Anolis sagrei: one gene and its partner. The protein of the gene in region 2 interacts with the protein of the main gene of each other region in a pairwise test. Links are inferred from orthologs where the notes say so. Each region holds a gene or a part of one and is shown on either strand. Other genes may lie near its edges. The genes, in order: EDC3 and DCP1A.

The links.
Region 1: the proteins of DCP1A (region 2) and EDC3 interact in binary tests that used the Homo sapiens proteins (3 or more experiments, as listed by UniProt). The two-hybrid records come from large-scale screens. The link is inferred for Anolis sagrei from reciprocal best matches to the Homo sapiens genes DCP1A and EDC3.

The regions. Positions count from the first base shown.
Region 1 is NC_090029.1:21,437,440-21,445,152, reverse strand, and holds the start of EDC3 (enhancer of mRNA-decapping protein 3), read right to left. Parts: upstream 3,092-7,713; 5' UTR 3,054-3,091; coding exon 2,990-3,053; intron 1-2,989. UniProt on the Homo sapiens protein: Binds single-stranded RNA. Involved in the process of mRNA degradation and in the positive regulation of mRNA decapping. May play a role in spermiogenesis and oogenesis.
Region 2 is NC_090022.1:60,979,236-60,986,558, reverse strand, and holds the start of DCP1A (mRNA-decapping enzyme 1A), read right to left. Parts: upstream 3,031-7,323; 5' UTR 2,984-3,030; coding exon 2,849-2,983; intron 1-2,848. UniProt on the Homo sapiens protein: Necessary for the degradation of mRNAs, both in normal mRNA turnover and in nonsense-mediated mRNA decay. Removes the 7-methyl guanine cap structure from mRNA molecules, yielding a 5'-phosphorylated mRNA fragment and 7m-GDP.

The DNA of each region.
Region 1 (7,713 bases), on a different chromosome or scaffold from region 2:
AGCAGTTGCTCTACTCCGAACTCAAGAACGGAAAACGGAATGCTGGCGGGCAGGAAAAGAGATTGAAATACGGGCTCAAAGCCAACCTGGCATAGACACTGAGAACTGGGAAGCCCTGGCCCTTGAGCGGTTCAGCTGGAGGTCAGATGTGACCAGCAGTGCTGGAGAATCTGAAGAGGCACGAATGGAGGGCGAAGGAGGGAAACGTGCCAAGAGGAAGTCATGTCAAGCCAACCCCGACCGGGACTGCCTTCCACCTGGAAACCAATGCCCTCACTGCGGGAGAAGATGCAGGTCAAGAATAGTCTCCACAGTCACCTATGGACACAACGCCAGGACACCGATCTTGGAGGACCATCATCCTCAGACTACGAGGGATCACCTAAGTAAGTAGCAGTCGACAGATCATGATTTTGGCAATGTTTATTGTTTCCAAATGCCGGCTGAGATCTTTGGGCACGGCACCCAATGAGCCAATGACTACTGGGACCACCTGGACAGGTTGATGCCAGAGCCTTATAATAATATTATAATTATTATAAATATATAATACTAATATAATATCATGCGGTGTGCGGGGCTTGATGAATGCAAAGCTGGAGTGAAAATTGCTGGAAGAAACATTAACAACCTCAGATATGCAGATGACACCACTCTGATGGCCGAAAGCGATGAGGAGCTGAGGAGCCTTCTAATCAAGGTGAAAGAAGAAAGCGCAAAAGCTGGGTTGCAGCTAAACGTAAAAAAAACCAAGATCATGGCAACAAGAATGATTGACAACTGGAAAATAGAGGGAGAAAATGTGGAGGCCGTGACAGACTTTGTATTTCTAGGTGCAAAGATGACTGCAGATGCAGACTGTGGCCAGGAAATCAGAAGACGCTTACTTCTTGGGAGGAGAGCAATGTCCAGTCTCGATAAAATAGTAAAGAGTAGAGACATCAGACTGGCAACAAAGATCCGCCTAGTCAAAGCCATGGTATTCCCTGTAGTAACCTATGGATGTGAGAGCTGGACCTTAGGGAAGGCTGAGCGAAGGAAGATTGATGCTTTTGAACTGTGGTGTTGGAGGAAAGTTCTGAGAGTGCCTTGGACTGCGAGAAGATCCAACTAGTCCATCCTCCAGGAAATAAAGCCAGACTGCTCATTGGAGGGAAGGATACTAGAGACAAAGCTGAAGTACTTTGGCCACATCATGAGGAGACAGCAAAGCCTAGAGAAGACAATGATGCTGGGGAAAGTGGAAGGAAAAAGAAAGAGGGGCCGACCAAGGGCAAGATGGATGGATGGCATCCTTGAAGAGACTGGACTGACCTTGAAGGAGCTGGGGGTGGTGACAGCCGACAGGGAGCTCTGGCGTGGGCTTGTCCGTGAGGTCACGAAGAGTCGGAGACGACTGAACGAATGAACAACAACAATATAATAATATATTATATTATTATAAATATATAATACTAATATAATAATATTTTATATCATTATAAATATATAATATAATAATGTAATATTACATTCTTATAAATGTCTTATATATATATATATAATACATTTATAAGATTGTAATATTACATTATTATATTATATATTGCCTCCCCCATTTAGCCAAAAGTTTGCATTGTCCGTAGTTCATTATATATATATATAAATATAAAATACATTTATAAGATTGTAATATTACTTTATTATATTATATATTGCCTCTCCCATTTAGCCAAAAGTTTGCATTGTTCGTAGTTCATTATATATATATATATATATAATACATTTATAAGATTGTAATATTACATTATTATATTATATATTGCCTCCCCCATTTAGCCAAAAGTTTGCATTGTCCGTAGTTCATTATTATTATTATTATTATTATTATTATATATAATACATTTATAAGATTGTAATATTACATTATTATATTATATATTGCTTGCTTGCATGCTGGTCTTGCGCTGTGCTACTCTGCTGCTGAGTATGCATACCCAGTGTGGAACACATCTCACCACGCTAAAACAGTGGATGTGGCTCTTAATGAGACATGCCACATTATCAAGGGGTGTCTGCGCCCCACACCCCTGGAGAAATTGCACTGCTTAGCCGGTATTGCACCACCTGACATCTGCCGGGAAGTAGCAGCCAATAGTGAAAGGACCAAGGCAGAGACATCTCCAGCTCATCCCTTGTTTGGGTATCAGCCAGCACGCCAACGACTTAAATCTAGACATAGTTTTCTTAGATCTACAGAGACACTCGCTGGAACACCTCAGCAATCGAGAGTCCAAAAGTGGCAGGCTCAAACCCAGCACTTCAACCAATTGCTGATACCAAATGAGAGACCCCCCCCCCCCCCCCGGGCACACAGAAGACTGGGCGACTTGGAAGGCATTGAACAGACCGCGCTCTGGCACCACGAGATGCAGAGCCAACCTTAAGAAATGGGGCTACAAAGTGGAATCCTCGACATGCGAGTGCAGAGAGGAGCAAACCACTGACCACCTGCTGCAATGCAACCTGAGCCCTGCCACATGCACAATGGAGGACCTTCTTGTGGCAACACCAGAAGCACTCCAAGTGACCAGATACTGGTCCAAGGACATTTAACCAACTACCAAACTCACAAGTTGTGTATTTTTCTGTTTGTTTGCTTTGTTCTGTTAGAAATGTAATATAATAGACTGGCTGCTCTGACACGAGAAATAAATAAATAAAATAATATATATTGCCTCCCCCATTTAGCCAAAAGTTTGCAAACTTTTGGCTAAATGGGGGAGGCAGGGGAGGTCACTCAATCTCCTTCCTTTCACAACGAAAGGCCTGGTCCGGCTGGGGCGAGGCCGAGGAGACCCCGGGCGGTCCTTCCCGGGGGAAGGGAGGCCTCCTCCCCGCCCCAAAGGCTCCCAGAAGGGAAGAGAAGGCCCCCAAGCCCTCCCTCGGCCTGCTCCCTACTCTAGGCCGGGGATAAGGCGCCGAGCAGGCCCAAAAGCGGCTCACTCACTCACTGACTCGCTTCTCCCTCCGCTTTTCCTCACAGCGTCTTCACACCGGAAGCGACAAGCCATTGCCCCGCTCTTCTGCGTCACTTCCGCTTCTCCTTCTCTCAGCGCTCACGCAGGCGCAGAAAGGACACGGCACGCCTTTCCTTCTCCAGAGGCGAAGGTGCCACTCGCAGCACGCATGCGCAGAAAGCCTGCTCGGCCCCTGGAAGCGGCTGACTATTGGACTACAACTCCCATCAGCCCCAGCCGTTGCGACCCATGGTGTGGCATCATGGGGGTTGGAGTTCAACGCTTCCTTCTTGGTGTTAGAGGAGTAATAGTCTCTCTACAACCACAGCAACTCCTGAATTGATCTGAAACACCTTGAAAAGTTCCGGAGTCGAGGGCCAATCATCATGATCGATCATGATTACCAGTTATTAATTACTAATTATAATTATATTATAGTGCTTTACTAATAATACAATATAATAGATTGTGTGTGTGTATATATATATATTGTTGTTGTTGTTGTTCATTCGTTCAGTCGTCTCCGACTCTTCGTGACCTCATGGACCAGCCTACGCCAGATCTCCCTGTCGGCCGTTACCACCCCCAGCTCCCTCAAGGTCAGTCCAGTCACTTCAAGGATGCCATCCATCCATCTTGCCCTTGGTCGGCCCCTCTTCCTTTTGCCTTCCACTTTCCCCAGCATCATTGTCTTCTCTAGGCTTTCCTGTCTCCTCATGATGTGGCCAAAGTACTTCAACTTTGTCTCTAGTATCTTTCCCTCCAGTGAGCAGTCGGGCTTGATTTCCTGGAGGATGGACTGGTTGGATCTTCTCGCAGTCCAAGGGACTCTCAGCACTTTCCTCCAACACCACAGCTCAAAAGCATCGATCTTCCTTCGCTCAGCCTTCCCTAAGGTCCAGCTCTCACATCCGTAGGTTACTACAGGGAATACCATGGCTTTGACTAGGCGGATCTTTGTTGCCAGTCTGATGTCTCTACTCTTCACTATTTTATCGAGACTGAACATTGCTCTCCTCCCAAGAAGTAAGCGTCTTCTGATTTCCTGGCTACAGTCTGCATCTGCAGTAATCTTTGCACCTAGAAATACAAAGTCTGTCACGGCCTCCACGGTTTCTCCCTCTATTTTCCAGTTGTCAATCATTCTTGTTGCCATAATCTTGGTTTTTTTGACGTTTAGCTGCAACCCGGCTTTTGCGCTTTCTTCTTTCACCTTGATTAGAAGGCTCCTCAGCTCCTCCTCGCTTTCGGCCATCAGAGTGGTGTCATCTGCATATCTGAGGTTGTTAATGTTTCTTCCAGCAATTTTCACCCCAGCTTTGCATTCATCCAGCCCCGCACATCGCATGATGTGTTCTGCATACAAGTTAAAAAGGTTGGGTGAGAGGATGCAGCCTTGCCGTACGCCTTTCCCAATCTTGAACCAGTCTGTTGTTCCGTGGTCAGTTCTGACTGTTGCTACTTGGTCCTTGTACAGATTCCTCAGGAGAGAGACAAGGTGGCTTGGTATGCCCATCCCACTAAGAACTTGCCACAATTTATTATGATCCACACAGTCAAAGGCTTTAGAATAGTCAATGAAGCAGAAGTAGATGTTTTTCTGAAACTCCCTGCCTTTCTCCATTATCCAGCGGATATTGGCAATCTGGTCTCTGGTTCCTCTGCCTTTTCTAAACCCAGCTTGAACATCTGGCAACTCTCGCTCCATGTATTGCTGGAGTCTTCCTTGCAGGATCTTGAGCATTACCTTACTGGCATGAGAAATAAGGGCCACTGTACGGAAGTTTGAGCAGTCTTTCGCATTTCCCTTTTTTGGTATGGGGATATAAGTTGATTTTTTCCAGTCTGATGGCCATTCTTGTGTTTTCCATATTTGCTGGCAAATGGCATGCATCACCTTGACAGCATCATCTTTTAAGATTTTAAACAGTTCAGCTGGGATCCCGTCGTCTCCTGCTGCCTTGTTGTTAGCAATGCTTCTTAAGGCCCATTCAACCTCACTCCTCAGGATGTCTGGTTCTAATTCATTCACCACACCGTCAAAGCTATCCTCGATATTGTTATCCTTCCTATACAGATCTTCTGTATAGTCTCGCCACCTTCTCTTGATCTCTTCAGCTTCTGTTAGGTCCCTGCCATCTTTGTTTCTTATCATACCAATTTTTGCCTGAAATTTACCTCCAATGTTTCTAATTTTCTGGAAGAGGTCTCTTGTCCTTCCTATTCTGTTGTCTTCTTCCACTTCCATGCACTGCTTATTTAAAAATAGTTCCTTATCTCTTCTGGCTAACCTCTGGAATTGCGCATTTAACTGGGCATATCTCCCCTTTTCACTGTTTCCTTTTGCTTTCCTCCTTTCTTGGGCTACTTCCAGTGTCTCAGCAGACAACCATTTTGCCTTCTTGGTTTTCTTTTTCTTTGGAACGTACTTTGTTGCTGCCTCCTGAACAATGTTGCGGACTTCTGTCCATAGTTCTTCTGGGACTCTGTTTACTAAATCTAGTCCTTCAAATCTGTTCTTCACTTCCACTGTATATTCGCTAGGAATGTTAGTGAGATCATATCTAACTGGTCTGTGTATTTTCCCTGAACTCTTTAGTTTTATTCTAAATTGGGCAATAAGAAGTTCGTGATCTGAGCTACAGTCAGCCCCAGGTCTTGTTTTCACCGACTGGATGGATGTCCGCCACCTTTGACTGCAAAGGATGTAGTCAATCTGATTTCGGTGTTGACCATCTGGTGAGGTCCATGTATAAAGCCGTCTTTTAGGTTGTTGGAAGAGAGTATTTGTTATACACAGCGAGTTTTCCTGGCAAAATTCTATCAACCTGCGTCCCGCTTCATTTTGTTCTCCCAGACCATGCTTGCCTGTGATCCCTGTTGTCATTTGACTTCCCACCTTGGCATTCCAGTCTCCTGTAATGAAAATAATGTCTCTTTTTGGTGTATTATCCAGTAGTTCCTGCAGATCCTCATAGAACTGATCTACTTCTGCTTCTTCAGCAGCTGTGGTTGGGGCGTATATTTGGATCACTGTGATGTTGAAAGGCTTTCCTTGCACTCGAATTGAGATCATTCTGTCATTTTTTGGGTTGTATCCAAGCACCGCTTTAGCGAATTTCTTATTAATTATGAAGGCTACTCCATTTCTTCGATGTTCCTCTTGTCCGCAGTAGTAGATCTGGTGGTCATCTGATGTGAAGTGGCCCATTCCAGTCCATTTCAGTTCGCTGACCCCCAGAATGTCTATCTTTAGTCTTGACATCTCACCAATAACAACATCCAATTTGCCCTGGCTCATAGATCTTACATTCCAGGTTCCTATGGTGTGTTGATCTTTAGAGCATCGGATTCGTCGTTCACCTCCAGTACCGTCGGCCGCTAGCCTTCCTTTCGGCTTTGAGCTAGCTGCGTCATCACATCTGGGGCTACTTGAACTTATCCTCTGCTCCTCCCCAGTAGCATTTTGGCCATCTTCCGACCTGGGAGTCCCATCTTCCAATGGCATACCGACATATCTCTGGTTGTACTGGTCCATTTAGTTTTCTTGGCAAGGATACTGGGGTGGTTTGCCGTTGCCTTCCCCAGGGATCACGCTTGGTCTGACCTCTCTGCCACGACCGTCCCGTCTTGGGTGGCCCTTCACGGTTTCACTCATGACATCATTGAGGTGCTCAAGCTCCAGCGCCCCGACAAGGCGGTGATCCTTTGCTGGAGATATATATATATATATATATAATATTAAAGCACTTTAATATAATTATAATTAATAATTATTAATATTATATTGTATTACATTATAATATTATAAACATTATATGTATATACAATATATTACATTATTAGTAAAGCACTTTAATATAATTATAATATATAATATAACTAATATTAGTACTGTATTGTATTACATTATAATATTATAAATATTATATATATATATATATATATAATATTTATAATATTATAATGTAATACAATACAGTACTAATATTAGTTATATTATATATTATAATTATATTAAAGTGCTTTACTAATAATGTAATATATTGTATATACATATAATGTTTATAATATTATAATGTAATACAATATAATATTAATAATTATTAATTATAATTATATTAAAGTGCTTTACTAATAATATAATATACTGGATATGCATATAATATTTATAATATAATGTAATACAATATAATACTAATAATTACTAATTATAATTATATTAAAGTGCTTTACTAATAATGTAATATATTGTATATACATATAATTTTATAATATAATGTAATACAATATAATACTAATAATTACTAATTATAATTATATTAAAGTGCTTTACTAATAATGTAATATATTGTATATACATATTTTATAATATGATAATGTAATACAATATAATACTAATAATTACTAATTATAATTATATTAAAGTGCATTATTAATAATAATATATAATATATTGTGTATACATATAATATTTATAATATTATAATGTAATACAATATAATACTAATAATTATTAATTATAATTATATTAAAGTGCTTTACTAATAATATAATATATTGTATATACATATACTATTTATTATACAATACAATACAATATAATAATAATACATTATTATATTTTATATTACATGTAAAATTACTAATAATATTACAATATAATGGTATAGTACAATGTAGTAATATATAATATTGATACTGTGCTATGCTA
Region 2 (7,323 bases):
GATGTAAAAAGTCTATGAAATCTACCTGGAAACACTAATAATCTTCTGCTTGACTATTACATTGCTTCTTGTTTTTCTCTGTACTTTAGAGCAAACATTTTTGCATGCAGAGGTTATAGCACACTATTAAATCTTCCTTTGTAACGAAAGGTATCCAAAGAGCAGGAGATAGTATTTGTTTCTTTTGTGGGGAGTTGTAACACATAGCATCACACTTCTATGGGGGGTCCTGGAACCAAACCTAAACAGATACTTCTGTTGGGGTCCTAGAACCAAACCTAAGCTCTCTTGCACTCCTTCTAAAACTGTGGTCTCTTCTTGGTTCAATGTTGGGTGCAACAAAAAAAATTGCAACAGTAAAAGGTTTCTGAACACTATCTATTTACACAAATCAGTTAGGAACAACATGAAGTGTTTACTTCCCAGAAAACACTCCAGAAAACAAATCAGCCTATTTAGCAAGTCTTGCAAATGTTGATTTATTACCAGTAAATGTGTGATTTTTATACCTATTTAATGTACCTATATACCCAGGATCATGTAAAAATTTCTCAAGTGGAAAAGGGTTGCAGGAAGAAAAAGTATAAGAAGCCCTGATCTACTGTACACCTATTGGATCTCAGGGGAAAGATAATAATAATGATGATAATAATATTTTTATTTGATAGCCACCTCTCCTCATGGCTGAAAGCAGGTACAACACAGCTAAAACACACTACTATAAAATACATACATCGTCTGGATTACTGTAATGCACTCTACGTGGGGCTGCCTCTGAAGAGGGCTCAGAAACTTCATCTGGTCCACAGAGCTGCAGACATGTTGTTCACTGGGGCTAGCTACAGGAAGCAGACAATCCTATTGTTTAAACAGCTCCACTGGCTGCCAGTCTGTTACCAGATAGAATTCGAAGTGCTGGTTATGACCTTTAAAGTCTTAGACATGTGATTCCCAACCTGTGGCCTGTGGACCACCAGTGGTCTGAAAGAACTAAACTATGGTTCACAGCCTCACTGTTACTACACCATTGCAACAAGAGTGACTGGTCTTGGAAAACTCTCTTATAGTGCTGAGGCTTATTAAATATGGTTTTCTGTGGGTGAGCAGATGGTGACTACTGGATGGCATATGTTCTGTATCAGAAACTAGAGTTGATGTGATCCATCCAATGCAATTTTCTGAATAAGCATCCCAAATAACCAAACCAGATGTAATATTGACCAAAAACGGATTCATAACCCTTCTGGTACTAATGTTGGTGCATGGTCGCTGGTCGAAAAAAAAAAAGGTGTGGAACGACTGCCCTAGACAGTTCAAGTCCAGGCTATTTGGTCAACCACATCCACTTGTATGAGCCTACCCGGGCGAAGTCCTTCTCTTGGTCCTACCGCCATCTCAAGTTAAGTTATTGGGAATGAGAGAGTGGGCCTTCCTTCTCGGTAGCTGCCCTGCGACTCTGAAACTCCCTGCCCAGGGAAGCAAGAATGGCCCCCTCCTGCTACCCTTCAGGTGGCATGCTAAAACCTTTTTATTCAGGCAGGCATTTAAAGAAGAAGGTTTTAAAGATTATCAGGGACCACTGTGATTTTATATGTTTTAAATGATGTTTAATCCTGTTTTAATACGTGTATATTTTAACGCTTTTAGTTGTGAGCCACTTTGAGTCTCCGTATGGAGAGAAAAAAGCAGGATATAAATAAACAGACTTTTAAAGATGAAGGTGTCCAAGAACTAGTCAGGGGGTTCTGTGCTTTTGAACTGTTTTGATGGATTTTAACTGCGATTTTTTTCAAATGCTGCTGATGTTTAATTCTATTGAATGCTTGCAATCTTGTTTATTTTAAATGGTATATTAATGTTTTTAGGTCAAGCTGCCTTGAGTCCCCTTTGGGGAGATAAAGTGGGGTATAAATAAATATATTGCAGGTTCAAATCTGGAGAGCGGCGTGAGCACCTTGCTGTTCGCCCCAGCTTCCACCAACCTAACAGTTTGAAAACATGTGAATGTGAGAAGATAAATAAGTACTGCTCCAGTGGTAAGGTAGTGGCGCATCTTCCAGTCATGCCAGCCACATGACCTTGGAAGTGTCTACGAACAACGGTGGTTGTTTGGCTTAGAAATGGAGATGTGTTGGACATGACTGGACTTAATGTCAGGGGAAAACCTTTAACCTAAATAAATATAAATCAAACTACAAGAAAGGAGATTCCACCTGAACATTGGGATGAACTTCCTGACTGTGAGAGCTGTTCAGGGGGGGACCTCTCTGCCCCGGAGTGTGGTGGAGGCTCCTTCTATGGAGGCCTTTAAACAGAGGCTGGATGGCCATCTGTCGGGGGTGCTTTGAACGCAATTGTCCTGCTTCTTGTCAGGGGGCTGGATTGGATGGCCCACGAAGTCTCTTCCAACTCTATGATTCAATAATAATAATACCCTAAAATATTTACATTGAAAAACACGGCCACAAAATATCTGTATTACAATTCACGGTGCAAGAGTGATAAACATACAATAGAAATAGAAGGTGAATATAAAACTCACAAGACAAGGAGCAAACAGGAGCTACTAGCGCAGGCCTGGGCCAACTTGGGCCTTCTAGGTGTTTTGGACTCCAACTCCCACCATTCCTAACAGCCTCAGGCCCTTTCCTTTTCCCCCTCAGCCGCTTATGGTGGGAGTTGGAGTCCAAAACACTTGGAAGGCCCAAGTTGGCCCAGGCCTGCGCTAAGAGCAGCAGCAGCAGCTTCTGTGGGAACTCCGAAAGGTGGGCGTGTTTCTGCGAATGGCCGCCAAAGGGGCCGGGGCCCTTCTCCTTCCCTCCCAGCGAGCGGGGCCCCGTGGACTCACCCACTCGTTGTCCTTGGGGCTGAAGCGGTAGAGGGCCACCTGGCCGGTCACGTCGGCGATGCTGGTGATGTAGGGGTCGTGCTGCTTTAAGGCCGCCAGGCTCATCTCCTGCCCCGCTTGACTCAGAGACGCCATCTTGGATCCGGGACCTCGGCCGCGGCGGGGAAGGGAAGGAGGGGAGGCCCAGGGAGCGTCACCCGCACTGGTCCGTCCCTCTCTAGCCGCCGGTCGGAAACCGCCTTCGCCCGGCTTTGCGTTCCACTCTGCTGCGCCTCTCTAACCCGTCCTTGGTGTTTCTCTCAACTGAACTAATTCCAGAAGGGAATGGGCAACGCCGGGAAAGAAACCCAAATGAATGTATTTCCGCAGCTCTGACTGCTATTTAACGATTGCCGCGACGGAAACTGTTTCACCTAGAAATACATTTCCGGCTCTTCAGTGTTTGGGGTGGCACGTGATGGAGTTTTCTGTAAAAATTGGGACCCAATGAGGTTTAATGTCAAAGAGGTTTCTGGAGTTGTGGGTCATATATGCCCAGGTATGATTGCACACACACACATACACATAAAGGAGGTTTAATTTTAACGTTTTTGGGGTTGTGTGTCATATGTGCATGTATGTTTGCACATTGTGGGATTAACATAATCCCACAAACTCTGCTGGTACAGCTGTACCAGGAGCTCCAATTTTGTTTGCTTTGCACTGAATGTTTGCTGTAGTCCTAAGTTTCAGGGACTCTGCAGATAGGTGGCTTCTTTTGGCTGCAATCATAGGGCAAGCCACCTGTCAATTATAGTTAGGTTCCCTGGTCCCGCCCCCTTTTGGGTTTTTGGGAGGGAATAGGAGCCAGTTTTGGGTCAGTCCACACAGAGAAGCCTTCCATGTAGGACATAATACCAAGAGCTCCTGTAGAAAGCTTCGTCTTCTACGGCTTGGCCGGGGAGATATACAGCTCACAGCTTGGCCGGGGTTATACAGCCCTACAGTTCCTTTGCTGAAGGACTTCAGTTAGCCATCACGGAAACCTGAGTTCTTTTCCCCTGGAAGTCTACAAAGCTCTGCTTGGTAAGGGTCACTTGCGGAAGCCAGAAGCAGTTGGTACCGGGTGCAGGGGCTCCACGCCAACAGAGGCAAAGATAGACTGCCCAGATTAGAAGTTAAGGATTTCCCCATTAGTTACAGTTATGAATATAGTGCCTGTTCCCTGTGGACAAGATTGAGAGAGAGCCAATAGACTGTTAAGAAAGCCTTAAAGTACCTGTTTGTTTTCATTAATAAAGAACTTGGTTGAACCTTTAAGCAATCTAAAGACTCTGTTTTAAGAAAATCCAAAGGCCTTTAATCTGAGGCAGCCCCGGCATCCCGTTGGGCACACAGAATTTATGTCCTGTCTACAGTCTGATGCACAGGCCCAGGCGACAGCACACAAACCACTGGGTGAATTGACACCAGATTTGGACACAATACACCTATTATTATTATTATTATTATTATTATTATTACGGTTGCTTATACCCCGCCCTTCTCACCCGGGGGGACTCAGGGCGGCTTACACAAACAAGGCACAATTCGATGCCTGTATTACAAAAACATAACATCAGGCCAACGAGTGACCATCACTCATAAAAACACTGAAAAACACAGCAGAAGAGACTTCAAAAGCAAAAAAAAAGCCTCCACAAAAAATATATTACAACGCACGCGCAAAACCACATATATACCCAAACACACATATACACACAGTCCCCGAAGGGGGACTCAGGATGGCTTACATTGGCAACAATTCGATGCCATAAATACAAACAAACAACAATATAGCAATAGTTTAAAACAATAAATAAATCATTTGGTTAAAAGCAGTTAAAACATTTGTCAACACCATGAAGTCAGTCAGTTTCTTCTCCCTTCACCCCAACCCTTACTTATTTGTATGTACTGCATTTGCAATATAGGTTGCTGTATGAACTGCATCTGCAGCTTCTCCAGGACCCTGGAGACCAAATGACACTGTTTTTGTGACCTTGGAGGTGATATTCTCATCACTGGCGGCAGAGTTTTCCAAAATGTTGAGGAACAATGAGAAATAAATCTAAGCCTTCTTGAGCTTCATGTGGTCAAAGCTGCCGAATTCCTGCCTCTGATAGAGTATTTTCTTCTTCAGTTCTCTAATATGAATTTTGAATTTGAGTAGAGTGTATGTTCTTAAATGGGTTACCCCATGCCTCCCCACCCCGATTCTGTATCATTAGCTGATATTCTTATATGGTGGGTACCTTTTCCAGTAATCTCTTATGGAAAGAAATATGAATGACTGGGCGGGCACAGACTATACTAAATATATGGTGATGGAGTGGTGCCCAGTGCAGTGCTCTTAATAAGGCACTGGGGAACCACTTCACAAAAAAGCACTCTTTGGATAGAGAGAGTTATCACTTAATTAAACAGTAATGTTTGCTTGGGAGGTATCCAAAGCAGTTGACAGATGAGATCCAAAACCTTACCGTGGACTTTTTGTCTCATTTGATAACATACCAAATTTCATGACATTGGGATAAAATACTTAATTTCTATGTATGTAGTATAAAAGATGGATAAACATTGTGTGTATTGAGTCCAAATGTTTCCTTTTTTTCCCTGGAAACTTGGCAGACACCAGCAACCAATGGCTCTGGGACCACCTTTGGTCCTGGCACTGCCACTCTGAAGTAGAACTGGTTTAGAGCATTGTTTCTTAAACCCTGGGTCCTAATCCCAAATATATGGGCTTATTCTAAAGAAACATTACATTATAATATAGACATTGTTTTACAATAAAAATAATATTATAAGCATATATATTATTATATTTTAAATCTGTTTAAGCAACAAAAAATATCCAGCCTAATAACATTTCTAATATACAATATAATGACATTATAATTGCATTATGTAGTATAATGTAATATAAAAGCACATTGCAAGCAGAACTAATTATATTAGTTCAAGAATTTAATGTAAGAATCATTCTGCTTTGTAATACAATACAACTCCTGTATCAGTGAGGAATGTGTTCCTAAAATTTGCAGGGGAAACAGGAAACCATGGATAATAGCTAACCCTATTGAAATAAATAACTTCTTACTAGTATAGAACCTCCCTTGAGGACCTCGAAAATGTCTAAAGAGGTATCCTCTAGGAATTTGCTAGATCGTCCAATACCATTATGTAATTACATCTGGAGGGTCCCTTGGTGGCACAGCGGGTTAAACCGCTGAGCTGCTGAACTTGCTGACTGAAAGGTCAGCAGTTCGAATCCAGAGAGCAAGGTAAGCTCCCATTGTTAGGCCCAGCTTCTGCCAACCTAGCAGTTCGAAAACATGCAAATGCAAGTAGATCAATAGGTATCGCTTCGGCAGCAAGGTAACAGCGCTCCATGTAGTCATGCTGGCCACATGCCTAGGAGGTATCTACAGACAATGCTGGCTTTTCAGAGATGAGCACCGCCCCCTAGAATCAGATACAACTAGACTCAATGTCAAGGGAAACCTTTACCTTAATAACTTCTGGTATAAGCACACCACAGAATTTCTAGAAAGGATATATTTTGTTGGAGGTGGACAAGTCCTGCAGGCATGGGAGCCATGCTTTATTTTAGAAGTTCTTTTTTCACAGATCCGATAGCAATCACACCCTATTTACACTGAACAAAATGTGTGTAATAACTTATGAAACCTGTTTATGATATAGAACAACTGTTTTATGTAGTTATACTAGCCTTTCCCAGCTTGGTAGCCTTTTGAATTGTTGAATTGCATCTCCCATCACCTTTGACCAATGCCTATGCTCTCTGAGGCTTTTGGGAAATTTAAATTAAAGCACTTGGAGAGCACCAGATTGGGGGAGACAGAAGCGTGTTCTTTCTGCTATTTTGTCTTTTAAGTGTAGATACCTCCAGGCCTCTCAGGCAGAACAGGGAGACTAATGCAAATCGATAGGCTGTTTGTTCTTTCTTCCGAAGCTGGTGAAATCCTTTAGGAAATTATATGGAAAAGGAAGCATTAAAGGAACTATGAATAATTGAAACCATGTAATCTAATGAAGTACAAGTATAACAGCATAAAAGAAACATTTACTCTACTGGAGTGTTCCCTATAGTTATGAATTTAACTTTCTTTCACCCATTTAAGGTGAAGCGAATAGATAGGAAATGCTCATTGTAAAAAAAAAGAAAGAAAGAAAGAAAGAAAAGGCTGTAAACCACAGCAGTGATCCTAAAAGGACAGATGCCGTGGATCGCTAATTTTAATCCTTCTGTTCTTCTCACAACAGCAATGGGAAAGGTTGAAATAGGTCAAAAGTAGCCCTCCTTACATTGCTCAAGAACATTCAAAAGATTAATAATTTATGGATTATCTCCTAGAAACAATGATCTGGTGCAGACAGGTAATCCAATATCCTGTATCCTTCTAACATGGGGTGCCATTTCATCAGGGGAT